2 linked regions of the Elephas maximus indicus genome follow. The protein of the gene in region 1 purifies or fractionates together with the protein of each later gene. This does not show direct contact. Links are inferred from orthologs where the notes say so. Each region holds a gene or a part of one and is shown on either strand. Other genes may lie near its edges.

The links.
Region 2: the proteins of GP6 (region 1) and LYN purify together in Homo sapiens (affinity purification with western blotting; 5 studies listed by BioGRID and IntAct, with this or other methods). This does not show direct contact. The link is inferred for Elephas maximus indicus from reciprocal best matches to the Homo sapiens genes GP6 and LYN.

The regions. Positions count from the first base shown.
Region 1 is NC_064829.1:92,072,978-92,089,738, forward strand, and holds the start of GP6 (platelet glycoprotein VI), read left to right. Parts: upstream 1-10,883; 5' UTR 10,884-10,920; coding exon 10,921-10,954; intron 10,955-16,761.
Region 2 is NC_064837.1:77,113,374-77,129,590, forward strand, and holds the start of LYN (tyrosine-protein kinase Lyn), read right to left. Parts: upstream 8,247-16,217; 5' UTR 8,164-8,246; intron 1-8,163. UniProt on the Homo sapiens protein: Non-receptor tyrosine-protein kinase that transmits signals from cell surface receptors and plays an important role in the regulation of innate and adaptive immune responses, hematopoiesis, responses to growth factors and cytokines, integrin signaling, but also responses to DNA damage and genotoxic agents.

The sequences.
Region 1 (16,761 bases):
TACACATGGAGTTGCTGTGAGTCGGAATCGTTTATGGAAGCAGATTGCCAGGGCTTTCTGTGGTGGTGCTGCCAGGTGAGTTCAAACCGAGACCCTTTTGTTTAGCAGTCAAGTGTAAACCATTTGTACCACCCAGGGAGGTTAATGCTAAAGAAAGTATAAATCATGGGAATATCATGGAGACTGCATATTTAGGGTAGTAGTTTGTTGTTTTAGCAATTGTAGTTGAGGACAGTGCTCCAGTTGGGTTGACATTAGAGAAAAGCCCTGAAGGGTGGAGGAAGGACAGACCCCCAGGGTGAACAGTATTTCACATTGAGAAACACATCAGAACCGGACCTCTTCATCTTGACCAAGGCCTCTGTGTCAAGAGTAGCGGTAATGAGTGAGAGAATAGTGAGGGAGGAAGTCAGAGAGGTAATGGGTCAGGCTGTAGACCAGGTAACGGGTTAAGATTTTACCCTGAATGAGATAGGAGCCGTTGGAGGGCTGTGAGCAGAGGACTGCATGATCTGGCATAGAAATAGGATTACTAGCTTAGGCGTGGAGAAAGGAGGCAAGGAGACTGGTTGGAGGCACATGTGGAAGAAAGAGACAAAGTAAGATCCTAATGCAATGATCTGAGAGATAATGGGTGCTTATCTCAGGGAGTGGGCAGTGGAGATGATAAGAAGGCAGATTCATAAGATTAATTTCCAGTTTGGATACAAGAGGTGTGGAGAATGGAACCTGTCACTGATAACACCAAGGAATGACATTTACTATTGAATTGATGGAGAAGAATAAGGTTTTTTCCAAAAAAATATCAGGTGCTCTATTTTGGACATGTCATCAGGAAAGACCAGTCACTAGAAAAGTACATCATGTTTGAAAAGTAGAGGATCAGCAAAAAACAAGAGAAACCCTCAGTGAGATGGGTTGACACAATAGCTGCAACAATGGGCTCAAACATACCAACAATCATGAAGATAGTGCAGAACTGGGCAACATTTTCTTCTGTTGTGCATAAGGTGGTCATGAGTCAGAGTTAACTCTTGAGAGGTCAGAATTGGCTTGATGGCAACCGATAGCAACAACAACAATTTGGGACACAATTAGCTGAGTCTTTTCACTGGAGGAGACAAGTTGAATAAACTAATCTAGAGTTTGGATGAGGGATCTTAACTGGAAATATATTCAGAATATATGTGTGTGTGTGTTGCTGTTGAAGTACAGCTTGGTAGTATGTTCAGAAAAGAGCAATAGATTTGAGGATAGAGCCTAGAGACACTGTAAAGTGTAGGGGTTTGGAGATGGTGGAAAGACCAAAGCAACTGACACAGCGTGGCCAGGAGAAAAATCAAGCATGTGGGCTCCTGGAAGTCAAATAAAAGTTATTTTTAGAAGGTAGAGTGATATACTTAGTCACATATTGCTGATTTAGGCATATCTAGTAATTAACCCCATCTTACTGATGCAGGGACTGAAGCCTCTCATTGACCAGACTCATAGGGTTAGGACAGGGCATGGGCAGAATTCACACCAGCCACATCCTGGGCTCTAACCTACCACCCCAATGGCATGTTTTCCAGAGCCTGGTGTGGAAGCAGGAAGGCAGGTTTCTTGACATCAGGATGTTTTGAAATTCCAGGCTCTCTTTATTTTCCAGGGATCAAGCCCTCCATCTGGGCAGTGCCAGATACTGTGGTTCCCCAGCACAGTTCTGTGACCATCCTCTGTAGCGGACCTACAGGAATGACTTATATGCGTCTGCAAAGAGTAGAATCCCAAGAGTGGGATGAAAAACCCCCAACCGGAGCCCAGGAGGTGGTCAATTTCTCCTTCCAGAAGGTGACACAATTTCATGCAAGGACTTATTACTGTAGTTACATGAAGGAAGGAACCTGGTCAAGACAAAGTGACCCACTAAAGCTGGTGGTGACAGGTAAGGGCCACCCCAAGGGCAGTGTCCCCTAGCCTTGGTATCTGTTCCCTAGCACACTGTGCCTGCTTATTACTGACCCCTGCCTGCTGTCTCTGCCCAATCTCCTCATCTATGTTGGTCCCATTATCCCTTTGTGCTGACTGTGGTCCAATCTCCATTCAGAGAGGAGGCTAGAATCCCTAAGGAACTACATTTCATGTGGGACAGATATTCAGCTCCCTTTCTGGACATAAGACTACTCTCTTGTCCTGGGTTATTGGAAAATAAGAAAAGTGGTTTTTTTTGGTCCTTGTGATCCCTGTACAGCAATAAAGTGTGAATGGGTGAATTTCACCCTGGCTCCATCATGTCTTCTCTCAGGTCAGACCATGAGAATGGTGGAGTAGGATGTGGCTCCCTAGCAATAACATGTTCCATTCTCTTCCAGGAGCCCTGGTGGGGTAGTTGTTAAGAGCTCAGCTGCTAACCAAAAGGTCAGCAGTTCAAATTCACCAGCTGCTCCTTGGAAACCCAATGGGGGCAGTTCTACTCTGACCTATAGCTTCACTATGAGTCAGAAATGACTCGATGGCAAAGGATTTTTTTGAGTTTTATTCTCTTCCAGGAGTCTTCAAGGGCATACCCTATCTGACTGCTCATCCAGGCCCCCGTGTGACCCTAGGAGGGAATGTGACCCTCCTTTGTCACTCAGATCATCACTATGACAGCCTCCATCTGTACAAAGATGGAAGAAAAGCCTTGGGCTATTTCCATCAGGACCGTAACACCTTCCTCATCTCCCCTGTGACTCTGACCAATGAAGGGATCTACACATGCTATGGTTCTTCTAGACAAAACCCTCTCCTCTGGTCACTGCCCAGCAAACCCCTTGACCTTGTGGTCACAGGTAAGTGCAGATCTGTCACTTTTGCTCTGTGCTCAAGAAGTCCCATAAAGTTTTTAAAGTGGTATCTTAGTTATCTAGTGCTGCTATAACAGAAATACCACAAATGGATGGTTTGAATAAACAGAAATTTATTTTCTCACAGTTTAGGAAGCTAGAAGTCCAAATTCAGAGCGCCTGCTCTAGGGGAAGGTTTTCTTTTTCTGTAGGTCCTTGTCTCTTTAGCTTCTGCTTCCTGCTTCCGTGGAGGTCTCCATGTGTCTTGGTATCTCTTTCCCCATCTCTGCTCACTCTCTTGCTTATCTAATCTCTTCTATATCTCAAAAGAGATTAACTCAACACACACCTTATACTAATCCTGTCTCATTAACATAATAAAGACAACCCATTCCCATATGGGAGTATAACCTCAGGCATAGAGGTTAGGATTTACAACACATATTTTGGGAGGACATAATTCAATCCATAACAACAGGTGGAGAATTTCAATTCTACTGTCTGTTTTTGTTGATTGTGATCTGCATAAGATGCCCCTTCTAAGGTCCCTTCATTTAATTTATAGGCCCTGAGGATTTATATATTTGTTATGACAATTTTTTGGCAGTTGTAAGTAAATTGTTTTGGGAATGTCTTTTACCCATCCATATGAAAAACCAAAAAACTAAACCCATTGGCATCCAGTCTATTCTGACTCATAGTGACCCTATAGGACAGAGTAGGACTGCTTCATAGGGTTTCCAAGGAGCGCTTGATGGATTTGAACTGCTGACCTTTTGGTTAGCAGCTGAACTCTTAGCCACTATGCCACCAGGGTTTCCATCCATATGAAAGTGCTATATAAACTCGTTGCAGCCCTTGGGAATCAGACTGGGGTGTAGGTCTACCACTTAGTGTGTGGGTGTGTCATCATCCTTAACACCCTCCTCAGGCAGGTCCATCTCTATATAAGAGGTTGACAACAAGTGCTGTCACTAACTAGAAGTGATAAAAAGTGAAAAGGGGGACCATGCTAGTTTCTTCATTCAAGATACTAAGACAATGGAGAAAGCAGTAAGACATTTATAGAACATCCAAGGTGAAATTATGGTTGAGGTCCCCCAAGGTTATGCTGGGAGGAGGCATTGCCAAGTTCTTTGTGGGTGGGTCTGTTGAGTTCTAGAAGACATAGCTTTCCTAGTTAGCTGCATCTTGTCAGGGGTTCAAGGGAGGATACTGTATCCAGGCACAGAAAAATGTGGAACAGAAGCACAGAGCTGTGAGGCAAGCCTGTCTGATGTTTTCTGGGAATTATAGGTAATTACTTTGTGGGAGAATGTAGGAGCTAGGGCTGGAAAGATGGCAACAAGGAGGCAGGAGCTTGAAAAGGAAATGACAGGGATAGAGTGGAGAAGGTGATGGCACATAAGTGGACAAGTTTGTGTATTTGTATGATCAGCTGACAGGCAGCAACACTAGGTAGACTAAAGATGATCTGTTTCAGTTGTCCAGTATCTGCTGATGGTTCCTAAATTTAGAATCACCATAAACAAATACTTCCATGAGTTTCAGAGTTATATGTCCACTTAGACACCCGATAAGCGTCTCAAATAAGCTCTTGCTTGACAAATCTCTAAACCTCTCATACAGGTCGCCTCATCTCAGTAGATGCCATCTCCATCATCCCAATGATCAAGCCAGGTCCCTGAGAATAATCATTTAAGCTCCTCTTTTGCTCTCAATTCCCACATACTCTACCACCAATTCTCAAATCTCATTATTTCCATGCTGAAAAGAAATTTCAAACCCAATCCCTTCTCTCCTCCATCAACATCACATTGTTATACCATGATCACTTGTCACCTAGCTGCCTGTAACAGGTTCCCTGTCTCTCTACTTTCCATCTTGCCTACTAAATTAATTTACCTAGCAGTAACTGCAGTGATTTTTTTTTTCCTCCCAAAACACATAGCTCGTTGCTTGCCAATTCCTTCAGGGTCATAATTGCACATAGAATAAAACCGGACTCTTCTCTACAGCTTCTAAAATTCTTCAGGCTCTGACTCTTGCTGACCTCTTAGATCTCTACATGTAAGGATACGTTTACATATTGGATTACGTCCCTAGACTCTGTTGTTGGGTAGGTTCACTAGTGTCCCAAACATCCAATAACTTGCCTGGTATATGGTAGGTGCTCAATCAATGTTTATTGAATGAATACAACAGGTGCTTAATAACAGATATTTACCATTTTGTAATTCCTAGATCCATATGGTCTTGAGCAAGGATACAGTCACGTTGTGATTGGGGTCTCGGCTGCCGTTGTCTTTATTTTCCTCTTCCTCCTCCTCTTTCTTCTTTGCCGTTGGTATCATGCCAAACACAGTATGTCCTGGAGATGGAAGGGTTAACCTGGGAGAAGTGGGAGGTGGGCTTGGTGGATTCCTCCCAGGACTCTGATCACTAATTCTCTGTAGGAGCTATTGATGGTGAGACCAAGAACCAAGTCAAGTATAACAGGTAGGAAAAGTTGGACTTCTCCAATAATAAAACCTGCTTCTGTCTTATTTCTCAGACCCCCTCTAATGTTCCTGTCTCCTTTCCCTCAGCTCCAGCCCATCTCTGGATGTCCAGGAAGAAAATCAATGTAAGGGGGAGAAAGGGGACCTGGGGTGAGGAAATGAGGTGGCGGGGGAGCCTGGAAGCATTCAGGAAGAGGGCAGAGAAAGTGGGGTTGCCACCTTGCTGTATGATGTCCCTGCCCTTGTCTGGATTTTAGTCACACCATCTCTGAAATATGGCTGGGAGCACTAAATGTTTCTGAAGGCCCTCAAAGAAGGTCCAACTCCTTATTTTCCTTTCAGATGCTACCATTAAGGACATCCAACCTGAGGAGTATGAACAGATGGATACGCAGGTAAGTATTTCCTTACCTATATCCTCTCCTTCCTTAGTCTTCTCCCCTAGTGCTCTCTTTCACGTCGTATCTCCATGCTGACAGGTCCGCAAAGCAGAAGACCCCAAAGAAGTGACATATGCTGTGTTGCAACAGGAAAACCTTATGAGGAGTGTGGATGTCCCGTCCTCCTGCACCCTCAGGGATGCCTCTCAACAGCCCTGTGTGTATGCCACCCTCACCTTGCCCTGAGCCCAGAGCTGGGACTGGCTATGTGGATGCTAGGGTTCAAATGCCCTTTAAGCTCCACGTGGCATACTACTCATATTCCCTCAACACTAGCCATCAACTTGGAGCTTCCAAAGAAGAAAGTACAAAGAAGCCATGTCAATCGTTAAGAGATTCTGGAACCCGTCAAATATTTTTCATATGATTCCAGATTCTTCACTTGCTTGCTTGTTCAGCAAATGTTTACAGAAGCCAGCTCTTTCCTTGGACCGTTGCTGGTGCTATCCAGATTAGTAAGACACAGTTTCTAGTATCAGAGAGCTCAAAGTCTACTGAGAGAGGAAAGCTACATGATCTGGCCCTTACAAAGCAATGCAGGAGTGACCTGCAGGAGCAGGTAGAGGAATGCTTTGGGTTCTTTGAGTAGGGACAACTTTCCAGGCATATTTAAGAAGTATCATCTGCTCATGGAATACAGATTTTCTGGAGCCAAGGAGGCTGGATGAACCGAAGGAACTATTACCGTGAGATAATCTTTAAAACTTAAACCAAAAATATCCTCTGAAATCTTCTTAAAACCAAACAATACCTTAACTAGTAAAGAATGTATGCCTTGAGTGTTGTGGTTGAAGTTTTTATTGCATGGGTGGATATAATTTTCAAAAGTTAATGAAATGAACTCTCAATATCTGTGCATTATATTGTATGTAAATCATGCCCAAATAAAATATTGCTTTTAAATAAAAAAACTATATGGGATCAAATTGACAGCAGCAATTCAAAAGATTAGATGGGAGCCTTAGGGGGGCAGTGAGTCCATGTTAATGGAGAAAGAACAATTTGGAAAAGGAAGGTGAGAATGGTTGCACAACTTGAAGAATGTAATCAATATTGCTGAATTGTATTTGTAGAAGTTGTTGAGATGGTACATGTTCTGCTGTGTATATTCTCAACAATGACAACAAATAAAATAAACTATAAAAAAAAGAGGTGCCATCTGGCACCAGATACAAGAAGTCAAGAAGAAATAAGAGTCATATTGGTTGCTGTTGGTATTTTACTCCAAAGTTCTAGGACCTGCTGAGAGCTGAATCCTTCAGAAGAGTGAAGAGTGAAAGAGGAAGGGCTCTTCGTGAAGTCACTATATTGCAAAACAAAATGAAATTCTCTCTTTCCTTCCCTCACTTTCACATGCCCTTTCTCCCTCTACACACACACACACACACACACACGCACACACCATATAAAAAAGTTCAAACCAATCTGACAACAAGGAATTGCTCTTGGAGAGAGAGATGGTGCAGAGGGTATGTGAAGAGGAATTGATGATTTTCCTCCAGTTTTGATGATATTCTCTTCTTAATTGTGCAATTAAAATAAACAGAACATAATGAAAAAGAGATGTGTATGAGAGAAGAACTGGAGTACATATGAAAAATAACTCTTTCAATAAGTTTTGATGAAAGAAATTGGAGAAGAAAGCTAATGTTAGAACAGGGAGAAGTAGTTTTGGCAGGGAAGGGGTAGATTTTTTTTTATGCATGTGTGTTGGTTGATAGAAATAAATGAGGTGGGATAGTAATGTAGTTAATACTGGGGAGGGAAAGATGATTGACACTTGGTGGAATGGCATATTAGATAAGAGTTCAGGTTCTGCAATGAATGGGTTTAATCTGGGTTCAAATCCTTCTTCTGCCATCCACAAGTCCATGAATATGTACACAAGATAATATTGCATCTCAGCACCTTGCTCTTTTCCCTCAAGGCGCTTATCAAAATTTCTGTGTATTCGGCATTAACAGGCTACAAACCATAACCAACAACACACACGCTCCAAAAGATAAGCTAGATAACTGGGATCTTCTAAAAATTAAACACTTATGCTCATCGAAAGACTTCACCAAAAGAGTAAAAAGAGAACCTACAGACTGGGAAAAAAATTTTGGCTATTACAAATCAGACAAAGGTCTAATCTCTAAAATCTACAGAAAAGTCCAACACCTCTACAACTAAAATACAAATAATCCAGTTAAAAAATTGGGTAAAGGAAATGAACAGACACTTCACCAAAGAAGACATTCAGGTGGCTAATAGACACACGAGGAAATGCTCACAATAACTAGCCATTAGAGAAATGCGAATCAAAACCACAATGAGATACCATCTCACCCCGGCATTACTGGCACAAATCAAAAAACCAGAAAATAACAAATGTTAGAGAGGCTGTGGGGAGGTTGGAACTCTTATGCACTGTTGGTGGGAATGCAAAATGATACAAGCATTTTGGAAAACCGTATGGTGCTTCCTTAGAAAGCTAGAAATACCATATGATCCAGCAGTCCCACTCCTAGGAATATATCCTAGAGAAATAAGAGTCATCACACAAATAGACATATGCACACCCATGTTCATTGCAGCATTGTTCACAATACCAGAAACAGATGGAAACGACCTAGATGTCCATCAACAGATGAATGGATAATCAAACCGTGGTACATACACACATAGAGTGTTATGCAAAAATAAAGAACAATGATGCATCTTCGAAGCATCGCATAACCTGAATGAATCTGGAGGGATTATGCTGAGCGAAATAAGTCAATAAATAAGTCATAAAAGGACAAATATTATATGAGACCACTGCTGTAAAAACTTATGAAAAGCTTTACACACAAAAAGAAACATTTGATGGTTACGAGGTAGGGGAGGGGTGGGGATGGAAAAACACTAAACAGACAATAGATAATAGGTAACTTTGGTGAAGGGTAAGACGGCAGACAATACTGGGGAAGCCAGTACAACTTGCCCAAGGCAAGGTCATGGAAGCTCCATAAACACATCCAAGCTCCCTGAGGGACTGAATTTCTGCGCTGAGAGCTGCGGGGACCATGGTCTCAGGGAACATCTAGCTCAATTGGCGTAACACAGTTTATAAAGAACATGTTCTACATTCTACCTTGTTGAGTAGCATCTGGGGCCTTAAAAGCCTGTGAGTGGCCATCTAGGATACTCCACTCGTCTCACCCCTTTGGGAGCAAGGGAGAATAAAGAAAACTAAAGATACAAAGGGAAAGATTCATCCAAAGGACTAATGGACCACAACTACCATGGCCTCCACCAGACTGAGTCCAGTACAACTAGATGGTGCCTGGCTACCATCACTGACTGCTTTGACAGGGATAACAATAGAGGGTCCCGGACAGAGCTGGAGAAAAATGTAGAACAAAATTCTAACTCACAAAAAAAGACCAGACTTACTGGTCTGACAAAGACTAGAGAAATCCTGAGAGTATCGCTCCCAGACACTCTTTTAGCTCAGTAATGAAGTCACTCCTGAAGTTCACCCTTCAGCCAAAGATTAGCCCCATAAAACAAAACGAGACTAAAGGGCACACAAGCCCAGGGGCAAGGACAAGAAGGCAGGAGGGGACAGGAAAGCTGGTAATAGAGAACCCAAGGTCAAGAAGGGAGAGTGTTGACATGTTGTGGGATTGGCAACCAATGTCATAAAACAATATGTGTACTAAATGTATAACTAGAAGATAGTTTGTTCTGTAAACCTTCATCTAAAGTACAAAAAAAAAAAATTCCTTGTATTTTAATTCCTCATTTGTTAAATTGAATTTTGCTTAGGATAGAAGACTCACGAGGGCAGGGACCCTGTGTCTTTCTCACTGCTGCGTCTGGCACCATTCATTATCTCTTCAGTATTCTTCTTTGCCATTAGAGTGTGAATTAGCTTAGAGGAGCAACACTTTAAGTTTCTTCCGAGCCAATCAACAATCCCAGAATTTCTTGCAGCTAGGTATGGCCGTAAGGTTGGTTTTGGTGAGTTCTAAGTGGTCACCTGCTGGGTGAATTCTGGGAAAGATTTTGTATTCATAATAAAGGGGACAGATGTGGTTAGCATAAGCCTCTGCCCCATCTTCCTACTTTGAACATGGATACAATGCCTGGGTCTAGGCATCCAGCTTGTGATGTTGAGGAGAAAGCCAAGAGGATGACAGAGAACCCAACTCTGCCATCATTGGGCCACCACACCAATGCCTTCATTACATTCTATTTTGTGAGAAAAACAGAATGAATTGTCTAATAATTGTTACTATTTTTTCATTATATGCAGTTAAAAGCATTTGGAATTGATAATATGGCTAATGTCAAGGGCATTCCACAATATTTGAAAGGAAGTAGGTATTCAAATATGTTTGTTGAATTAGTCAGTGGCTTAGGGAGGGTGTGACAGTCAATTTTGTGTGTCAACTTTGCTAGGTTATGATTCTCAGTGGTTTGGCCAGATACTGGGCTGGTTGCTGTTCCGTAATGTAACATAATACAATGTAATGTGGTGTGGTGTGGTGTGGTGTGGTGTAATGTAATGCAACATAATGTAATCATCTTCCATGAGGTGATTTGATGTGACAAACCAGTCAGTTGAAAGGGGAGTTTCCTTGGCAGTGTGGCCTGCCTCTGGTATATAAATGGATATTCTGGCAGAGCTTGCTCTCTCTTTTTGAACCATGTACTCTTTGCATTGCCTGATTTATGGATTGTGGGATATAAGCCTGCAGAAATCTCTGGCCTGTCACCTGACCTATGGATTTTGGACCTGCCAGCCCCACAGTTGCATGAGCCAATCCCTTGAAGTAAATCTCTCTCTGTATACACACACACACACACACGCACATACATGTCTCACTGGTTTTGCTCCTCTAGAAGAACAGGTGATGTCAGGGAGTTTATGGAAATATCAGAACATGGGCAATGTCTCTCAATGAGAAATGAATGGTGTGACTCCAGGCTGGTGAAAGGAGTTAAGTGAGACTCCTTCGGGCTTGTGTGCGAGTCATTCTACCGAGGAAATGGTCCAGCTTGATTAGCCTGAACTAGGAAAAGCCAGGGCTGATGGAGGGGAGGGAGGAGCATATCCTTCATCTTCAACACATCCTGTCTCTGCTCTAGGCCCCCACCACCTCCTTCCCGGGGCCACAGAACTCAGGACGGGACTGAGGAACCATGTCTCCATTCCTGTCCGCCCTCTTCTGCCTTGGTGAGTCCTCAGGGTGGATCTGGGAGAAGCGGAGGGGATAGGCACAGGGCCACCAGATGAAGACTCCTAAAATTCCAGGACAAAAGGGGACCTATGAGAGCCCCTTCATTGGTTGGGTGGGAAAACTTGGATCCAGGGAGATTATGTGTTTTGTCTAAATTATATTAGTTTATTCATGGTTGAGTCAGGAAACGAACACAGGTCTCCTTGTTTGGGCTGCAATGTTATTCCATTATACCATGGTTGCTTTTATAGATATATATGTATGCATATGACTATGAGATCAGGGCTAGACTGTAGGTTTAATTTGCCAATGTTCCTTATAATAGCAAGGGAGCAAATAATAATCTGTCACAAGGAGGGATTGGATGTATTTTTTACTGCCTGATCTTTATCAGGCTTTGTGCCAGGTGTGTTGTAGACGTTGTTTATGTTTTCAGAAGAACTTTACTGCTGAAGGGATAGGGTTCCAGCAGGCTAAGCAGGAAGGAAGCAGTTGTGTCACTGGAGTTAATAGGGCAGACTCTAATTAATCGATCAATCAATTAATCAGTCAACACGAGCTTACTATGCATGGGCCAAGAAGCCTGGGTAGTGCAAGTGGTTTGTGATTGGCTGCTAACATAAAGGTTGGTGGTTCGAACCCACGGAGTGACTCCATGGAAGAAAGTCCTGGTGATCTGCTTCCATAGAGAATACAACCAAGAGAACCCTGTGGAGCAGCTGTACTCTGTCTGTGACACATACGGTTGTCATGAGTCAGAGTCAACTCGATGGCACGGGGTTTGGTTTTGGTGTTGGATGATGGGTCACGTATTCTTCTTTTTTTTTTTTTTTCTTAACAGATACTAATGCATTTAATCCCCATGACAGCCCTGTGAGGTAGGGTCTATTATCCCCATTTCACACATGAGGAAACTGAGGCCAAGAAGGGTAAAGTAAGTAACTTGTTCAAGGCCACACAGCTAGGGATTGGATTCAAACTAAGAAATTTTGGTACCAAATCCATGTTCTTTACCGCTAAAATATGCTGCCCATGTTTGAATTGAGCTCCTTCCAACTGCAGGATGTTGGACAAGATACTAATGCTTTCGGTGTTTTAATAGCTTGGTATAGAAAATGGTACTAATAATGGTACCTACCCAGTAGATACTATGAGTCAGAATCGACTCGACGGCACTGGCTTTGGGTGACCCAATAAATTATGACGAGGATTCAGAGTCCATATGCAGAAAGTGTTCAAAATGGCTCTTGGGTTATTTCCAGTCATGTTTTTTTTAGAGGGTTGCATGAGAATTGTTAGGTTTATAATAGAACGATAATAATCTTTATCTTCATGTGTGTGTGTCTCTGTGTGCAAAAATTAGGGTTACCACATATCCACAGAGGATTCAGTTAAATTTTAATTTCAGATAAACAACAAATAATTTTTTGTGTAAGTATATCCCAACTATTTCATGGGACATATTTATACTAAAAATTGTTGTTGTTTATCTGAAATAAAAATTAACTGGAAAGCTGGCATTTTTATTTGCAAAATTTGACAATTCTAGTAAGATTGAAATAGAAAATACTATCAACTCAGGAGAAAGGCAAAAAAGATGTCTTAGCTTCCACAATTTCGTGGAAAAGCTATTGAAAATTGTGGAAAGAATTAACAATAAGTTCAAGGAAAACTAAAAAAAAACCACAAAGGAAAACTATACAGATGGAAATAAACCAGGCATTCATCAATTAAAACAAAAAAACCACACTCGTTGCCGTCGAGTTGATTCTGACTCATACCAACTCTTCAGGAGAGAGCAGACAGTAAAACTCCATAGGGTTTCCAAGGAGTGGCTGGTGGATTTGAACTGCTGACCTTTTGGTTAGCAGCCAAACTCTTAACCAAGTGCCACCAGGGCTCCTATTGATTCCAGGGAAAACACATAGGAAAAATATATAAGCACAGCGTTATAATGCTCAGATGTGAACGATATTTGCATAGTCATAACAATGTAATCACAGAATATTGATTTAACAAAAAAAGTATAAAACAGTAGGAAACCTGTGAGTAACACACCCTGAGATATCTTGACTTATGATATAATGCAAGAGACCTCATCCTGGACAAAGCCCCCTTCTCAAAGAGGAAGTTTTTTTTTTGTTTAAATTGTGTTTTAATTGAAAGTTTACAATTCAAGTCAGTCTCTCATACAAAAAACTTATATACACCTTGCTATGTAACCCTGGAAACCCTGGTGACGTAGTGGTTAAGTGCTATGGCTGCTAACCAAAAGATCAGCAGTTCGAATCCACCAGGTGCTCCTTGGAAACTCTACGGGGCAGCTCTACTCTGTCCTATAGGGGCGCTATGAGTTGGAATCGACTCGATGGCAATGAGTTTTTTGGTTTATGTAACTTTTTTAGCTACTCTCCCCCTAATGTGATGGCACATTCCTCCTCTCTACCCTGTATTCCCCGTGTCCATTCAACCAGCTCCTGTCCCCCTCTGCCTTCTCATCTCACCTCCAGGCAGAAGCTGCCCACATAGTCTTACATGTCTACTTGAGCCAAGAAGTTCACTCCTCACCAGTATCATTTTCTGTCCTACAGTCCAGTCCAATCCCTGTCTGAAGAGTTGGCTTCGAGAATGGTTCCAGACTTGGGCTAATGGAGGGTCCGGGGTCGCTCCAATATCAGTCAGACCATTAAGTCTAGTCTTTTTATGAGAATTTGAGGTCTGCATCCCACTGTTCTCCTGCTCGATCAGGGATTCTCTGTTGTGTTCCCTGTCAGGGCAGTCATCAGTGGTAGCCGGGCACCATCTAATTCTTCCCATCTCAGGCTGATGGAGTCTCTAGTTCATGTGGCCCTTTCTGTCTCTTGGGCTCATATTTACCTACGTCTTTGGTGTTCTTCATTCTTCCTTGCTCCAGGTGGATTGAGACCAATTGATGGCATCTTAGATGGCCGCTTGCTAGCATTTAAGACCCCAGATGCCACTCACCAAAGTAGCATACAGAATGTTTTCTTAATATATTTTGTTATGCCAATTGACCTAGATGTCCTCTGAAACCGTAGTTCCCAGACCCCCGTCCCTGCTACTCTGGCCTTGGAAGCATTTGGTTGTATTCAGGAAACTTCTTAACTTTTGGTTTGGTCCAGTTGTGCTGACCTCACTTGTATTGTGTGCTGTCTTTCCCTTCACCTAAAATATTACTTGTCTACTATCTAATTAGTAGACAAATAGTATTACTTGTCTACTATCTAATCGGAAACCCTAACCAAAAGGTCGGCAATTCGAATCCACCAGGCGCTCCTTGGAAACTCAATGGGGCAGTTCTACTCTGTCCTATAGGGTCGCTATGAGTCGGAATTGACTCGATGGCACTGGGTGGGTTTTACTATCTAATTAGTGAATACCCCTCTCCCTCTGTCCTCATCCTCATAACCATCAAAGAATATTTTCTTCAATATATAATATAAACTTTTTCTTCAGTTCTTATAATAGTGGTCTCATACAATATTTGTCCTTTTGCAACTGATTAATTTCACTCAGCATAATGCCTTCCAGATTCCTCCATGTTATGAGATGTTTCACGGATGCATCATTGTTCTTAATTGTTGCATTGTATTTCATCACGTGAACATACCATAATTTATTTATCGATTCATCTGTTGATGGGCCCCTTCATTGCTTCCATCTTTTTGCTATTGTAAACAGTGCTGCAATGAACACGGATGTGTGCATATATCTATTTGTGTCGCGGCTCTTATTTCTCTAGGATATATTCCAAGCAATAGTATTGCTGGATCATATGGTAGTTCTATTTCTAGCTTTTTAATGAAGCACCAAATCAATTTCCAAAGTGGTACCATTTTACATTCCCACCAGCAGTGTATTAAGTGTTCCAGTCTCTCCACAACCTCTCCAACATTTATTATTTTGTGTTTTTTGGATTAATGCCAGCCTTGTTGGGGTGAGATGGTATCTCAAGGTAGTTTTGCTTTGCATTTCTCTAATGGCTAATGATCGTGAGCATTTCCTCACGTATCTGTCAGCTGCCCAAATTGTCTTTGTTGAAGTGCCTGTTCATATCCTTTGCCCATTTTTAAATTGGGTTATTTGCCTTTTTGTTGTTGAGTTTTTGCAGTATCATATAGATTTTAGAGATGAGATGCTGATCAGATTTGTCATAGACAAAAACTTTTTCTGAGTCTGTAGGTAATCTTTTTACTCTTTTGGTGAAGTCTTTAGATGAGCATAAGTGTTTGATTTTTAGGAGCTCCCAGTTATCTAATTTCCTTCTGGTGTTTGTGCATTGTTAGTAATGTTTTGTATACTGTTTATGCCATGTATTAGGGCTCCTAGTGTTGTCCCTATTTTTTCTTCCATGATCTTTATCATTTTAGATTTTATATTTAGGTCTTTGATCCATTTTCAGTTAGTTTTTGTGGATGGTGTTAGGTATGGGCCTTGTTTCATTTTTTTGCAGGTGGATATCCAGTTATGCCAGCACCATTTGTTAAACAGACTGTCTTTTCCCCATTTAACAGACTTTGGACCTTTGTCAAATATCAGCTGCTTGTATGTGGATGGATTTATGTCTGGATTCTCAATTCTGTTCCTTTGGGCTATGTATCTGTTGTTGTACCAATACCAGGCTGTTTTGACTACTGTGGCGGTGTAAGTTCTAAAAACAGGTAGTGTGAGGCCTCCCACTTTGTTCTTCTTTTTCAGTAATGCTTTACTTCTCTGGGGCCTCTCCCCTTTCCATATGAAGTTGGTGATTTGTTTCTTCATCTCATTAAAAAATGCCATTGGAATTTGGATCAGGATTGCATTGTATCTATAGATTGCTTTGGGTAGAATAGACATTTTCACAATGTTGAGTCTTCCTATCCATGAGCAAGGTATGTTTTTCCACTTATGTAGGTCTCTTTTGGTTTCTTGCAGTAGTGTCTTGTAGTTTTCTTTGTATAAGTCTTTTACATCTCTGGTAAGATTTATTCCTAAGTATTTTATCTTCATGTGGGCTATTGTAAATGGTATTTTTTTTAGTGATTTCCTTTTTGAAATTCTCTTTGTTGGTGTAGATGAATCCAACTGATTTTTGTATGTTTATCTTGTATCTTGATACTCTGCTGAAGTCTTCTATTAGTTTCAGTAGTTTTCTTGTGGGTTCTTTAGGGTTTTCTTTGTATAAGATCATGTCATCTGCAAATAGAGATACTTTTACTTCTTCCTTACCAATCTGGATGCCCTTTATTTATCTAACAAAATTGCTCTGACTGGAAACCCTGGTGGCATAGTGGTTAAGTGCTACAGCTGCTAATGAAAGGGTCGGCAGTTTAAATCTGCTAGGCGCTGCTTGGAAACTCTATCGGGCAGTACTACTCTGTCCTATAGGGTCGCTACGAGTTGGAATCGACTCGATGGCACTGGGTTTGGTTTTGATTTTTAATGGCTCTGACTAGGACCTCCAGCACATTGTTGAATAAGAGCAGTGATAAAGGGCATTCTTGTCTGGTTCCTGTTCTCAAGGGGAATGCTTTCAGACTCTCTCCATTTAGGATGATGTTGGCTGTTGGCTTTGTATTAAAAAAAAAAAAATTTTTTTTTTTAGATGCCCTTTATTATGTTAAGGCATTTCCCTTCTATTCGTATTTTGCTGAGAGTTTTTATCACAAATGCGTGTTGGGCTTTGTCAAAGGCTTCCTGCATCAATTGATAATATCATGCGGTTCTTGTCTTTTGTTTTATTTATATGATGGATTACATTGATTGTTTTTCTAATGTTAAACCATCCCTGCATAACTGGTAT
Region 2 (16,217 bases), on another chromosome or scaffold:
TTTTAGATGCTCACAAAAGGTGCAGGTTGGCAGGGCAGTATTTGACTGTGTCACAAGTGTTAACTCTGAAATGAAAATGACACAAGCTAAACACCCTTCGGGTTACTGGAACAAAGAATTCTTCCCAACATTCTACAACTCCACAAAAGCAGTGCCTAGACCATTAAGAAACAGCTACCCCCAAATGATTCCATAAAGTCATCCCCATTTATGTAATTTTATTGGACAAGTTAACTTAGATTTCTTAGCATTACGAGCAATTACCACAGTTATAATAATTAGACTAGTTCCCATGGTCAACTCACGTCATGTTCAATTCACGGTTTGAAGAAGGCTTTACAGGCTGTAATAGATGGTGGGGAGAGGGTTGGAGACAGCAGCCAGAGAAGGGACACTGGAAATACGCTGAGGATTAATAATGCGTAATAAAATAACACTTTGGAAGAGTTCTGTACAAATGAAAACTACATCCTGACTGTAAATACAACTTTCAAAAAATAGCTTTGTGGCAAAAGACAAAAAAAAGATATTGAGGAGGTTGATAGTTTATTCAGTAATAAGGGAAAGTGGAAAGTAGAGAACAAGAGTGAAGAAAAAGTTTAAGAACGAAGAATAAAACCTATTCTAGCTCCCTGCCACTTGTCCACACAGATGAGCCTTTTCAACATATCATTCCAAGTAACAATTGAAACTTGCTATTTTAAATTACAAGAGAGGTTCTCTTAAAGTCCAAATCTTTACAAACTGATCTGTTTCAAACTTTCTAATTCCTCCACTGGCTGATTTTCACACCATTTCCTTGGCCTTCTCCCCCAAATGGGAACTTATTCAAAATAAATTTCAGAAATGAAGACAGCGTGAACTCAGAGTTTCACAATTTAAGTATCAGGAAACAGGGTGGCTGTAAGAAATCTTTCAATATTTCTGATGGAAAAAAAAAACTTCCTCTTCCATATCTTTCTCCTCTTCACTGCCTGCCTTACAGAACAGGAGGCAATGTGGTAGCTATCAGCTGGCATGTGGGCTTTGGGCCACGCCTTGCACACAGCAGGTGCTCAGTAAATGGTGTGTGTGGCTAATGTGCAGCCTGCAGGCCTCTCTTTTACATTTTCACCTCCATGATGCTCACTTGTAAAACAGCCACAGAGAAGGCTCTTAGGGATCGTGCAGATGACACTTCTAGCAGAGGCTGCAAGCATCTCCTTGCAAAGTATTGCTTGGACACTTCTGTAGTAACCAAGAACTATCTGATAGCACCCCAAGCAGTCTTTAGAGTGCTTTTAGGACAACCAGCTAGCCTCCATGCAAGAAGCAGTGCTGGAAGGCACAGAAACTCATCTTCAGAAGACAGTTAGTTGAAGTGCCTTCCTTGATGGCACCACTTGCTCATCTATCCTAAGCAGTTGGCCACTTACTTCAGGCAATCACCAATTTATAAAAGGAAGTTACCTTGTGATTCTGTTTCAAACATGTTTACTAAACAATAAATTAAGTTTATCTTTGCTTTTAAGCAGCTGAGTAACTACTACAGATCCAAGGGCAGACAAGTGGGGAAAACTCTAAAGTTGGTGCCAGAAAACATACTCAACTGTGCCACTTAACTGGGCCTGTAACCTTGGACATGCTACCAAACCTCTTTTCTGTATCTGTCCCTGCCTAACATGGCAAGACTGTGATGATTAATTTTACGTGTCAACTTGGCTAAGACATGGTTCCCAGTTGCTTGGCCAAACACTAGTATAGTTGCCGTTACAGTGTACAGCCATCCCTCAGTACCGGAAGTGATTGGTTCCAGGACCCTCCCCCACCCTGACAGATACCAAAATCCACAGAGGCTCAAGTCCCTTATATAAAATGGTGTAATATTAGCATTTAACCTATATGCACATCCTCCCATATACGTTAAATCGTCTCTAGATTACTTATAATAATTAATACCATGTAAATGCTATGTAAATAGTTTTACTACATTGTTTAGGGAATAAGTACAAGAAAAAAAAGTTTGTACATGTTCAGTACAGATTCAACCATTGTAGGCCTAACTACATAGTACCCATCAGCAACATTTTTTTCAAATATTTTGAATCCACAGTTGATTGAACCCAAGGATCTGGAACCCATGGATGCAGAGAACCAAGTGTAGTTACATGTGATTCAATCAGTTGGCCTTGGGTAGAGCAGGTTACCTTCCATAATGCAATCTAATGCAATGTGATCAATTAATCAGTTGTGGTCATACCAGTGTAAACCAAAAAAGAACAATAAATACCATTGCGGTTGAGTCAATTTTGACTCATAGCGACCCTACAGTGACCCTATAGGACAGAGCAGAACTGCCCCGTAGGGTTTCCAAGGAGCGCCTGGTGGAATCGAACTGCTCACCTTTCAGTTAGCAGCCATAGCTCTTAACCACTATGCAACCAGGGTTTCCAAAGTGGGTCCTAAATCTAATCACTCCTGAGTTATAAAAAGACCAGAATAGACACAAAGAAATACACACAAGGGGAGAGAAAGCCACCAAGGAACATGGCTGCAGGGGGGCTATAGCAGCTGAAAGAAAAAAGGATCTTCCCTGTAAAAATGGAGAGGGAGCAGTTCTGACCTCCTCCTACCCCACAAGAGGGAAGGAGAAGCAAGATCAACAGCCCAAGCCTGATTTCTGTGAGGCAGAGGTCAAACATGCCTCCTCTCTCTGCCATCTTCACCAATTCTAACACCAACTGTCCGTCCCACAGCACTCTCTACTTTCCTATTGGGTTCAGTAGTTCACTGCAATGGCCACACAGAACTCACAGATCATACTCACAATTGTGGGGGTTATTAGGGAAGTAACAGTTATAATTCAGGCTCAAGAACACTCAGGATACAGTTCTTCCATCAGGACAGCCTCTTCCCAGTCATGTTCACAGGCACGCCTCTCCCTGGGCCTCAGTCTCTGCCCAAAGACACTCAGCTTTCTCTCTCTGTGGAAGCCCACCAAGCCTTCTCCTGCTGCTGGGTCTCTCCTGCCACCACTTCTCATCACCTTCGAGCTTACAGCTCATTATCTCCTGGGTCCAGGAGCTTCTCAGCACAGGGATCCCAGGTCTAAAGGACACGCTGGATCGTGCATGTTCTTCCTTGGTGGTACTAGGATTCTCTCTTTCCCGCCTCTAGGGTGGCTCATTTCAAGCCCAGCGGGATGGCAAAACTGACCAATCCCCTTGGTGGGCCACAACTACCCTATCACACAGTCCCACCCAATGGCCTGGGTGGGAGTTACAAGACCATGGCTAGAAAGGCCAGATGAAAAGCAATCCATTATACCACATTCCCCTACAGCCAACAGAGAGTCTCCCCCTAAGGCCATGCCTCAAATTTGGACTTCCAGCCTCTTGAACTGTGGGAAAAGGAATTTCTGTTCTTTAAAGCCACCCACCTGTAGTATTTGTGTTACAGCAGCACTAGGTTATTAAGACATGGACCATGATAGGTTCAGGTGAAATGAAAGTTTGGATGCTTCACAGCCCCAGAAAGCAGAAGGTGTTAGCATCATCATCACTAGGAAAAGCAAAGGGAGGTTGAGACACCATCAAACTTAATATCAACATGTCATTGACGAGTGTCTTTACTAATGATTTTGGTAACCCTTCTATATTAACACTAATCCATGCCTGAGTGCTTGGCGGTCACAGAGACCACCAGTGCAAACGAGCTGCAGCAATGTTCCATGCTAAAGACGTGTATAAACTGCATTCCCATTTGTACAGATTTAAAATTAGCATGAGCTTTGTCTTGGTTATCTAGTGCTGCCATAACAGAAATGCCAAAAGTGGATGGCTTTAACAAAGAAAAATTTATTTTCTCACAGTCCAGTAGGCTACAAGTCCAAATTCAGGGTATCCGCTCCAGGGGAAGGCTTTCTCTCTCTGTCGGCTCTGGAGGAAGGTCCTTGTCCTCAATCTTCCCCTGGTTGAGGAGCTTCTCAGGGGCAGGGACCCCATGTCCAAAGGATGCACTCTGCTCCTGGCACTGCTTTCTTGGTGGTATGAGTTCCCCAACTCTTTGCTTGCTTCCCTTTCATCTCTTGAGAAATAAAAGGTGGCAGGCCACACCCCAGGGAAACTCCCTTTACATTGGATCAGGGAGGTGACCTAAGTAAGGGTGGTGTTACAATCCCACCTTAATCCTTTTAACCACAGGCAGAGATTATGATTTATAAAACAGGAAAATCACAAAATGGAGGACAACTACACAGGGCCTAACCAAGTTAACACATATTTTGGGCAGAAACAATTCAATCCATTAAACTTCACCCTTTGGCCCCCAAAAACTCTTGTCTGGCAACATGCAAAGCATATTCATCCCCTCATATCATAGCAAATGTCTTAATTACAAGCCCAAAATCCAAAAATTCTTCCTCATCTGTGAAATCTAGAATACAAGTTATCTGCTTCCAAATGTACAATGGCAGAACAGGCACAAGCTAGATATTTCCATTACAAATGGGAGAACCTGGAGGGAAAGGAGGGATAACGGGCACCAAGCAAGTCAGCGGGACACATTACATTAGCTCTCAAGGCTTTGAAAATAATCCTCTGTTCTCTGAGACAATTTACACAATAGCCCTGCCCCCCAGCCTGTAGGTATTGACCACACTCTTCAGATTCTGAGTGGAGGCCCCTCGGCCCTGGGCTTCAGCTCCTCCTTCCAGGCCCACTGGGACAGCAACTCTGCTCCCTTGGCTTTAGGCACACCATTCTCCTAGTCCATCTGAATGGCAAGTCCACACTTAGAAACACCAGAGGCCATGGCTCCTGAGGTCATGGCCATATCTTTTGAGACTGAGGCAGCTCAGCTTCTTGTGTTGTCTTTTCAGCTTCTGCTTCCTGATTTCTTGACCTCGTGGCTCCTTGGGCCTCAGCTACATCTGCCCTGCTGGGGCAAGTGTTCCAAAGCTCAGTAGCTCCACCAGTAAGTGCCCAAGGCACCCCACTTGGCCAGGAAGCCTCCTGCACACAGGCATTCAGCTCTCTGGCTCCATGGGTCGGCAAGCCTAGCTCCACTAGTAAGTGTCCAGAGGATCCCCACTCTGCCAGGAAGCCTCCTGCACACAGGCACTCAGCTCTCTCACTCTGTGGGTTGCCTCCAGTGCTGTCTCGCACTTGTCTCTTGGTTCTGCTGCTGCTGGTTCTCTGCTGTTGCCACTTCTCTGCCACTGCAGGTTTTCTGCTGCACTGGTCCTCTGCCCCTGTCACAACTCTAACCATTCACAGTTTCAAAACTACTTCCACATTTTAGGTGTCTCTTAGAGCAGCACCCCACTCCTGGTACCAAATTCTGTCTTGGTTATCTACTGCTGCCATAACAGAAACACAGTGGATGGCTTTAATGAAGAGAAATTTATTTTCTCACAGTCTAGTATGTTACAAGTCCAAATTCAGGGTGTCGGCTCTAGGGGAAGGCTTTCTCTCTCTGTCGGCTCTGGAGGAAGGTCCTTGTCCTCAATCTTCCCCTGGTTAAGAAGATTCTCAGGTACAGGGATCCCATGTCCAAAGGATGCGCTCTGCTCCTGGCACTGCTTTCTTGGTGGTATGAGGTCCCCAACTCTTTGCTTGCTTTCCTTTCCTTTTATCTCTTGAGAAATAAAAGGTGGTGCAGGCCACACCCCAGGGAGACTCCCTTTACATTGGATCAGGAAGGTGACCTGAGTAAGGGTGGTGTTATAATCCCACCTTAATCCTTTTAACCACAGGCAGAGATTATAATTTATAACACATAGGAAAATCACAAAATGAAGGACAACCCCGCATGGTCTAACCAAAAAAAGTTAACACATATTCTGGGTGAACACAATTCAATCCATTACAAGCTTATCTATGAGTAATGTTTTAATTTTTTTTTTTTAAGTTATAGTTCCATATATTAACTTGAACTAGCTGGAATCTCAAACCTTTTGATTTATTTCTGAATACATGCATAAATGGAACTGAAGGGCTGTGAAAGCTACTGATTCACAAAATTGTGTTGGACCACTTTCCTGCCAAAAAGAAACCGCTGAAGGCAAGAGGTGGGGAGAGGGATCTTCCAGAGTCTCCATGCACCTTTGGAACACCAATGACTATAAAAGGAAGTGGGTTTTTTTGATTGTGCAACCTACTTTTGCAGGAGGCTTATTTATTTTTAATGAAACACACCCTTCCCCTTTTCTGTATTGTGGTAAAGTATACATAGGAGGCATCTTCTTAAGACATCAAATCAAGATCTCTCTCAGTGATACAAAGGGAGGCCAGCCCTGGGTGGAGATTCTAACACATGCTCGGGTCACGTGACAGGGTCGACAAAGGACATAAATGGACCAGTGAGCTTCCAGGGCCTTCGGAACCAGAGTGTTCATTTCTCTCCATCTGATCTCAACCTTGCAGGTGACTGTCTCAGATCAGGCCCTTCCCTCCTCCTTTCAAGCACGTACTATGTGCAGACCCCAGGTCTAGCATTTTGGGCTGGATGGACGAAGCTGCACTCTCATGGAGCTTCCATTCTCCTAGTGAATGCACAGACCCCCAGTCTAGCATTTTGGGCTGGACGGACGAAGCTGCACTCTCATGGAGCTTCCACTTTCCTAGTGAATGCACACTATAAACATGTAACAAATTGTGATGCAACTTTGGTTGCTGCTATGAAGCAAATGTTGGCTGAAGAAACAGCCCAACTAACTTCATCCCAAATCACAGCTCAGCAAATGGCAGGTGAGACCAAAACTGAAGTTTCCTGGCTCTTGTTTTCTCTTCTCTGACATCGGCTAACCTCTACCCTGCACTCAGAAGAGGGTTATGGTCCTCTACATCCAAGGGGACCAGTCACCCAAAGCTTGTGATAAAGTTAAATCCTTCAAGCCTCAAGATGCCTATCTCCTTACCTGCAAATGAAAGCTGAGGCACTAACTGAACGCCACCCTTTCCCAGCACAGCTTACCTTAGTAAGGACTTCTGAGTGAGGAGTTTGAGTGCCTATTCCAGGCATCACTGCTTCAGGTGCTGGCCCTACAGAACATCCCTGCCCTCCCTAACCTTACTGCCAGCTGAGGGCAGACCACAGGCAGCGACTCAAAATCCTTTTTGGCTAGCTCTTATAAATCAGACCCCCGGTCTCTGTGCTGGAACAGCAAGTCCCTCGTGTATTTATTAAGCAGGTTTACTAGTACAGTTGAGTTTTCAGAGAGCAAGGACCCAGCATAAAAAGGACGGGTAAATTGGACGTGTGGTCTTGGGCTTAAAGCCATCAAATTGCAAAGAACCAAGGAGCCTCAATTCGATGGACAAAATTATTTGCAATAAATAATAATAACACCACTTAGGGAATGCCTTAGTAGGGTTTTTTTTTTTTTTTTTTTTTTTAATAAACGGCTAACAGGTGAGGAAAACGACGAACGGGATTTCAATAATTGGCCCAAGTTCACACACAGCTAGGAAATTGCAACCCTCGGATTCCGACTCAGGTTTCTGAGATGGTAAAGAAGTTGAGTGGATTTGGGGTACTTCAGGCACACACACTGGATATGCAAAGAATGAGAACCACACTACACACGACCACGCGGCGACTGATGGACGCTGACAGTCCACCAAGATAACGCCGCCGGAAAGTGGGAACTGACGCTTACACCCTGCCCCCAAGGCGAAAAAAAGGCAACCCCAGTATTCTTAAAATAACTCTCGCTTCCTCTCCGCGCAGGCACCGGCTGCTCCTCCGCGGGGCGCAAGGCGCCTGGCTCACGGGGAGGGTGCGCGCCGGCCCCGCGGCAGCCCCTCGACGTCACGTTTCTGCCCGGGGCCACCGAAAGGGCAGCTGCGCGAAGGGCCCCACCCCTCACCTCGGACGACCCCAGGGCCCTGAGCCACCGGATCCCTGCTGGGGGCCCGCTCAGCGCGCAAAGGGGCTTCCCCGCCGCACTCAGGGAGCGACCAGGGGGCGTCCATCCGCACGCCTCGCACCTCCCACCCCGCCCCTGCGCCGCCCGCCGCGAGACACCTGCAGAGCCGCCCGCCCCCGCGACCCGGCTCTCAGGCCCGCTCACCCTCGGGCTGAAGGCGCCAGGGCGTCCCTGTCTTCCAGGGCGGGGTCGGTGGAGCAGGGACCCGGCGCGCCCCCCAGCCCGCGGCCGGCCCGCTCGCTCTCACTACTCACCCGCTCGCGATGGAAGTTGGGGGGCGGCGGCCGAGCTCCACGGTGACTTCAGATCCAAGCAAGGGGCCCGACGGGGCGGTCGGATCCGGCCAGCGTGGGGGCGGCGGCGAAGGCGCGGGCTGGGCCGAGGGGCGCGGGCCGCCGCTGTCGCGGGCTGGGAGCTGCAGCGCGTTTGGCCCGGGGCGCCACGGCCGGGAGCTAGCTGCGGCGCGGGCCGGCGCGGCGGAGAGGAACTGGCGGTCGCTGGGCTCGGCCGGGAGTTCCCAGCTACTTCCTGGTGCTCGGATTTGCATACTGCGCCCAGAGGGCGGGGAAGTGACCGTTTGGCCCCTGCCCATAGCTCGGGGCTTCGGTGTGGCCATCGCGCAGAGCTTTGAAAGAAAGGAAACCTGGCGTCCCCGTGGGTGGCAGGGGAGATAAGAGCAGCCTCAGGTCCAACATCCTCTTATAGAGACGGACCAAAGGATCTTCCAGGAGATTCTCTGAAAATCCAAGCACATGCTCGAAACTTCTATCGTCTCCTTCCTTTCCTCCAACCTACTTCCCCAAATGTTAGGAGATGGGGTGCTGCTGGGAGCAGAGGGAGCGAGCTCTCTCTAGAGAGGAATAGATATAATGAGTAGATGCTCAGAGTCTCCCTGAGTCAATAACTCAACACAGAGCAAGCTCCTTAAGGTGTAGGCAGTGATGTTCAGGGTATTGATTGGGGGGCCCAAGGAGTGGTGGGAAGGAGAGGAGTGCGGGGGCAAGGGGGCTGTAGAGTTGAACGGACAGGAAATTTTCTCAGGTCCTCAAATCCTCAATTTCCTCACAGGAAAACAGACACGAATGGCATATTGGGAGAATAAGCCAGCCTTCTGTGAAGGGCTGAAACTGTGTCTAGCATATGATGATGGTAGTGTTTCCTTCTTAGCGTCCCTAGCCTCCCACACACATCAGGTGCCTCAGTGTTTGCTGTAATAATGACTACCTCTCTGAGCTCAGGCTCCAACTCAGTAAATGCCGTTTACAAATCCACAATCAATGATCGCTTATTCTAAGGACTCCATTCATTAGAATTCCAGTTTTGCACTACATTGTAAAAACTACAAGGAAATAAATTACACACTGTTAGTAGATGTGCTCTTTGCATTAATAATATCCAACACTTACATAGGGCCTAGTGGGCTTCAGAAGGAGCCCTGGTGGAGCAGAGGTTAAGCACTCGGCTGTTAACCAAAAGTTCAGCAGTTTGGACTTGCCAGCAGCTCTGCAGAAGAAAGATGCGGCAGTCTGCTTCCTTAAGGATTGTTTTTGAGGCAGGGCCAAGATGGCAGGGTAGCCGGATGCTTACAGTGATCCTCTTACAACAAAGACACAAAGACCCCCCCCCAAAACAAGTGAAATGATTATGGCAAGCTAGGAGCTCCGAACATCAAAGGCAAAGTTAGAAAACAGACTGAGTGGCAGGGGGCAGGAGACATAGTTGAGAAGCTGCTAGGGTTGCCAGACCTGAACCTCCGGGAACCCTCAGGCACCATTCCCTGTAGCGACCGTGGCAAGCTGGTGCAGTAGCATTCCTGACGTGGTTTCCTCAGGGAGAGACAGCAAGCCACACAGCTTACTCACACCTCCAGAACCAGAGAAGAATGGGTGCTTTTGGCAAAGCTAAGTGTTTGTGTTTATTTTACCACACACACCCGCCCCTCCACCTCCCAGCCCCCAAGCTGGCTTCAGTGGCTGTCGATTTCTCTGGGCCTGAGATAGGTTCTGCTGTGCACTCTGATCCGTTCTCCCAGTCTTGGAGAAGGAATAAATTAGCAGATGGGGGAAAAGATAATCCGCCAGCTACACTAAGCTGGGAAGCTCAGGACAGGAGCAGCTCTTGTTCAGGCACAAATGCTCCACAGACTTTGAATACTTTTCACCTCTGCACGGACCTGTGTGGGCCCATTTCAGAAGAACAGGCCCTTGTTGTCAGACTGCAACTGCTTCAGCTGTGTGGCAGAGAGGTGGGTGTTTGATGTTTGACACTGCTTTGCCTATTAAATGGGGTCCTCACCTACCCACATTGGTGGCCTAAGGACTGGTGGTTACACCCACATCACCTAGCCACCCACAAAAGGGGTCCAAGGATAAGAGGTACCTCCCAGTCTTTACAACCAAAAGCTGGGTACCCATGGTCCTAGTGCAGAACCCACCCAACCATGCACTCTAAGGAACAGGCATGCACTTTCCTCACAGACACCCAGGGAACAGTTGTCAGCCCCGTGCCTTGTTCAGAATGTGACCCTCTATGCAAACAGATATCTGTACCTACATCAATCACCCCTGCACCTCTAAGACTTTAGGACAGAGCCCGTACTACACCCTTGATGACCGACTACTGGACACCTGAGCTGAATCCATATAAGAAAAAGGAATGGACTCCTAGATTCATACACCGGGTAACATCTCTAGCCATCTGGTGACAGGACGCTAGAGCTTCAAAGGTGAAAATAAGCTAGCTCACTCAAGCAGTCTGTTAGGACATATCAAAATAAAACTAAGCAAGAAGCTAGGATACGCTAAGCAAACATAAACTAATACAATAACTTATAGATGGCTTGCAGACAACAGTCAATATCAAATCACATAAAGAAGTAGACCAGATCACTTCAACAAGCTCTCAAAACAAGGAATCTTGTGAATGAAGGTGTCTTCCAGGAATTACCAGATACAGAATACAAAAGATTAATATATACAACTCTTGAAGACATCAGGAATTAGATCAGGAAAAATGGAGAACAGGCCAAGGAACACAAAAATAAAGCAGGTTATTCAAGAACATAATGAAAACTTTAATAAGCTGCAAGAATCCACAGAGAACCAGCATTCAGAAATTCAGAAGATTAACAATACACTTACAAATTAGACAACTCAATAGAAAGTCAGAGGAACAGAATTGAGGAATTAGAAGACTGAAGAAAAAACACTTGGCACCAATACATTCAAAGAAAAATCAGATAACAGAATTTTTAAAAAATGAAGAAATCCCATGAATCATGTGGGACTCTATCAAGAGAAATAACCTACGAGTGATTGGAGTACCACAACAGGGAAGGATAACACGAAATACAGAGAGAATTGTTAAAGATTTGTTGGCAGAAAACTTCCCTGATATCATGAAAGATGAGAAGATATTTATCCAAGATGCTCATCAAACTCCACATAAGATAGATTTCGAAAGAAAGTCACCAAGGCATATTATAATCAAACTTGCCAAAACCAAACATGAAGAGAGAATTTAAGAGTGGCTGGGGTAAACAAAAAGCCATTTACAAAAGAGAGTCAATAAGAATAAGCTCGGACTACTCGGCAGAAACCATGCAGGCAAGAAGGTAATGGGTTGACTTATATAAAGCACTGAAGGAAAAAAATTGCCAGCAAAGAATCATATATCCAACAAAACTGTCTCTCAAATATAAAAGCAAAATTAGGACATTTCCAGATAAACAGAAGCTTACAGAATTCGTGAAAACCAAACCAAAACTACAAGAGATACTAAAGGGAGTTCTCTGGTTAAAAAATCAGTAATATCAAATATCAACCCAAGACTAGAACACAGGACAGAGCAACCAGATATCAACTCAGATAGGGAAATCACAAAAATAAATCAAGATTAAAAAACACTCAAAACAGGGAAACAGCAATGTTACTATGTAAAAGAAGACAACATTCAAACAATAAAGAAGGACTAAGAAATATTTTTTTTTTAAGAAATATAGTCATAGATCTTTCATATGGAGAGGAAGTCCAGGTGATATAAAGAAAGAAAAGTTAGGTTTAAAGTTAGAAAAATAGGGGTAAATTTTAAGGTAACCACAAAGGAGACTAACAAACCTACACATCAAAATAAAATACAAGAAAAAAATAAAGACTTAACAAAAACAAAATCAACAACAACAAATAAGAGGAAAAGAAAATAAATATTCAGCACAAAAAATTAAGTGGGAAAAAGAAACTGTTAACAACACACACAAAAAAAGACATCAAAATGACAGCACTAAACTCATTAAAAAAAAAGTTTTTTTAAAAACTCATACCTATCAATAATTACACTGAATGTAAATGGACTTAATGCACCAATAAAGAGAAAGAGAGTGGAAGAATGGATTTAAAAAAACATGATCTGTCTATATGCTGCCTGCAAGAGATACACCTTAAACTTAGAGTCATAAACAAACTGAAACTCAGAGAATGAAAAAATACATATCAAGCAAACAACAATCAAAAAAGACCAGGAGGGGCAATATTAATTTCTGACGAAATAGACTTTAACATTAAATCCACCACAAAGTACAAGGAAGGACATTATATAATGATTAAAGGGACAATCTACCAGAAGAATATAACCATATTAAATATTTTTGCACCCAGTGATAGAGCTGCAAGATAAAAAAACTCTAACAGCAGTGGAAAGTGAGATAGACAGCTCCGCAACTACAGTAAGAGACTTCAACACACAACTTTCAGTGAAGGAGAGACCATCCAGAAAGAAACTCAATAAAGACACAAAAGATCTAAATGCCACAATCAACCAACCTGACCTCATAGACATGTATAGAACGCTCCACCCGACAGCAGCCAGTATACTTTGTTCTCCAGTGCACATGGAACATTCTCTAGGATAGACCACATATTAGGTCATAAAGCAAGTCTTAACAGAAACCAAACCATCAAAATATTACAAAGCATCTTCTCTGACCATAAAGCCATAAAGTAGAAATCAATAACAGAAAAAGTACGGAAAAGAAAACAAAAACTTGGAAACTGAACAATACCCTGCTCAAAAATGACTGGGTTAGAGAAGAAATTAAGGATGTAATAAAGAAATTCATAGAATCCAATGAGAATAAAAACACTTCCTATCAGAACCTTTGGGACACAGCTAAAGCAGTGCTCAGAGGTCAGTTTACATCAATAAATGCACACACGTGAAAAGAAAGGGCCCAAATCAAAGACTTATTTCTACAACTTGAACAAATAGAAAGAGAGCAACAAAAGAAACCCACAGGCACCAGAAGAAAACAAATAATAAAAATTAGAGGAGAATTAAATGAAATAGAAAAAAAAATTAAAAGAGTTAAGACCAAAAGGTGGTTCTTTGAAAAAATTAACAAAATCGATAAACCTTTGGACAAACTGACAAAAGAAAAACGGGAGAAGAAGCAAATAATCCGAATAAGAAATGAGATGGGTGATATCACAACAGACCCAACTAAAATTAAAAGAATCACATTGGATTACTACAAAAAATTGTACTCTAACAAATTTGAAAACCTAGAAGAAATGGATGAATTCCTAGAAACACACTACCTACCTAAACTAACACAAAACAGAGGTAGAAAAACTAAATAAACCCATGCCAAAAGAAGAGATTGAAAAGCTCATTAAAAATCTCCCAACAAGAAGGACAATACTCAATACACGGAAGGTCAGCTCAACTGGACTACACCAAAAGCAAAGAAGTTTCCGGGATAAAATGAATGCTTCAAAGGTCAGCGGAGCAAGGGCGGGGGTTTGGGGACTATGGCTTAAGGGGACTTCTAAGTCAATTGGCAAAATAATTCTATTATGAAAACATTCTGCTTCCCACTTTGAAATGTGGCGTCTGGGGTCTTAAATGCTAACAAGCGGCCATCTAAGATGCATCAATTGGTCTCAACCCACCTGGATCAAAGGAGAATGAAGAACACCAAGGTCACACGACAACTAAGAGCGCAAGAGACAGAAAGGGCCACATGAACCAGAGACTTACATCATCCTGAGACCAGAAGAACTAGATGGTGCCCAGCCACAACCGATGACTGCCGTGACAGGGAGCACAACAGAGAACCCCTAACGGAGCAGGAGATCAGTGGGCTGCAGACCCCAAATTCTCATAAAAAGACCAGACTTAATGGTCTGACTGAGACTAGAGGAATCCCGGTGGTCATGGTCCCCAAAACTGCTGTTGGCCCAGGACAGGAACCATTCCCAAAGACAACTCATCAGACATGGAAGGGACTGGACAATGGGTAGGAGAGAGAAGCTAATGAAGAGTGAGCTACTTGTATCAGGTGGACACTTGAGACTGTGTTGGCATCTCCTGTCTGGAGGGGAGATAGGAGGGTAGAGAGGGTTAGAAAATGGCAAAATTGTCACAAAAGGAGAGACTGGAAGGGCTGACTCATTAGAGGGAGAGAAAATGGGAGTATGGAGTAAGGTGTATATAAGCTTATATGTGACAGACTGACTGGATTTGTAAACGTTCACTTAAAGCTCAATAAAAATTATTTTAAAAAAAGACAGAAAAAAACAATATCTCCCACCAAAAAAAAAAGCCCTGGCCTGGACAGCTTCACTGGATAGTTCTCCCAAACTTTCAGAGAAGAATTAACACCACTACTACTAAAGGTATTTCAGAGCATAGAAAGGGATGGAATACTCCCAAATGCATTCTATGAATCCAGCATATCCCTGATACCAAAACCAGGTAATGACACCACAAAAAAAGAAAATTACAGACCTATATTCCTCATGAACATAGGTGTAAAAATCCTCAACAAAATTCTAGCCAGTAGACTTCAACAACATATCAAAAAATAATTCGCCATGACCAAGTGGGATTCACACAGGTATGCAGGGATGGTTCAACATTAGGAATACAATTAATGTAATCCATCATATAAATACAACAAAAGACAAGAAACACATGATCTTATCAATTGATTCAGTAAAGGCATTTGACAAAGTCCCATGCATGATAAAAATTCTCAGCAAGATAGGAATAGAAGGAAAATTCCTCAACACAATAAAGGGCATTTATACAAAGCCAACAGCCAACATCGTCCTAAATGGAGAGATTCTGAAAACATTCCCCTTGAGAACAGGAACCAGACAAGGATGCCCTTTATCACCATTCTTATTCAACACTGAACTGGAGGTCCTAGCCGGAGCAATTAGGCTAGATAAAGAAATAAACCCACCAAAAAACCAAATCCACTGCTGTCGAGTCAATTCCAACTCGTAGCGACCCTACAGGACAGAGTAGAACTGCACCATAGAGTTTCCAAGGAGCGCCTGGTGGATTCAAACTTCCGACCTCTTAGTTAGCAGCTGTAGCAGTTAACCACTATGCCACCAGGGTTTCCAGATAAAGAAATAGAGGGCACCCAAATTGGTAAGGAAGAAGTAAAAATAGTCCTATTTTCAGATGACATGATCTTACACACAGAAAACCCTAAAGAATCCTCAAGAAAACTACTGAAACTAATAGAAGAGTTCAGCAGAGTATCAAGATACAAGACAAACATACAAAAATCACTTGGATTCGTCTACACCAACAAAAAGAACATCGAAGAGGAAACCACCAAATCAATACCATTTACAGTAGCCTCCAAGAAGATAATATACTTTGGAATAAATCTTACCAGAGACATAAAAGACCTATACAAAGAAAATTACAAGACACTACTGCAAGAAACCAAAATAGGCCTATGTAAGTGGAAAAATATAACTTGCTTATGAATAGGGAGACTCAACATTGTAAAAATGTCTATTCTACCAAAAGCGACCTATAGATACAATGCAATTCTGATCAAATTCCAATGACATTTTTTAATCAGATGAAACAAATCGCCAAGTTCACATGGAAGGGAAAGAGGCCCCAGACAAGTAAAGCATTACTGAAAAAGAAGAACAAAGTGAGGGGCCTCACACTACCTGATTTTAGAACCTATTATACTACCACAGTAGTCAAAACAGCCTGGTACTGGTACAATAACAGACACATAGACGAATGGAACAGAATTGAGAATCCGTACATAAATCCATCCACCTATGAGCAGCTGATATTTGACAAAGGCTCAAAGTCTGTTAAATGGGGAAAAGACAGTCTCTTTAACAAATGGTGCTGGCATAACTGTATATCCGTTTGCAAAAAAATGAAACAAAACCCATGCCTCACACCATGCACAAAAACTAACTCAAAATGGATCAAAGAACTAAATATAAAATCTAAAATAATAAAGATCATGGAAGAAAAAACAGGG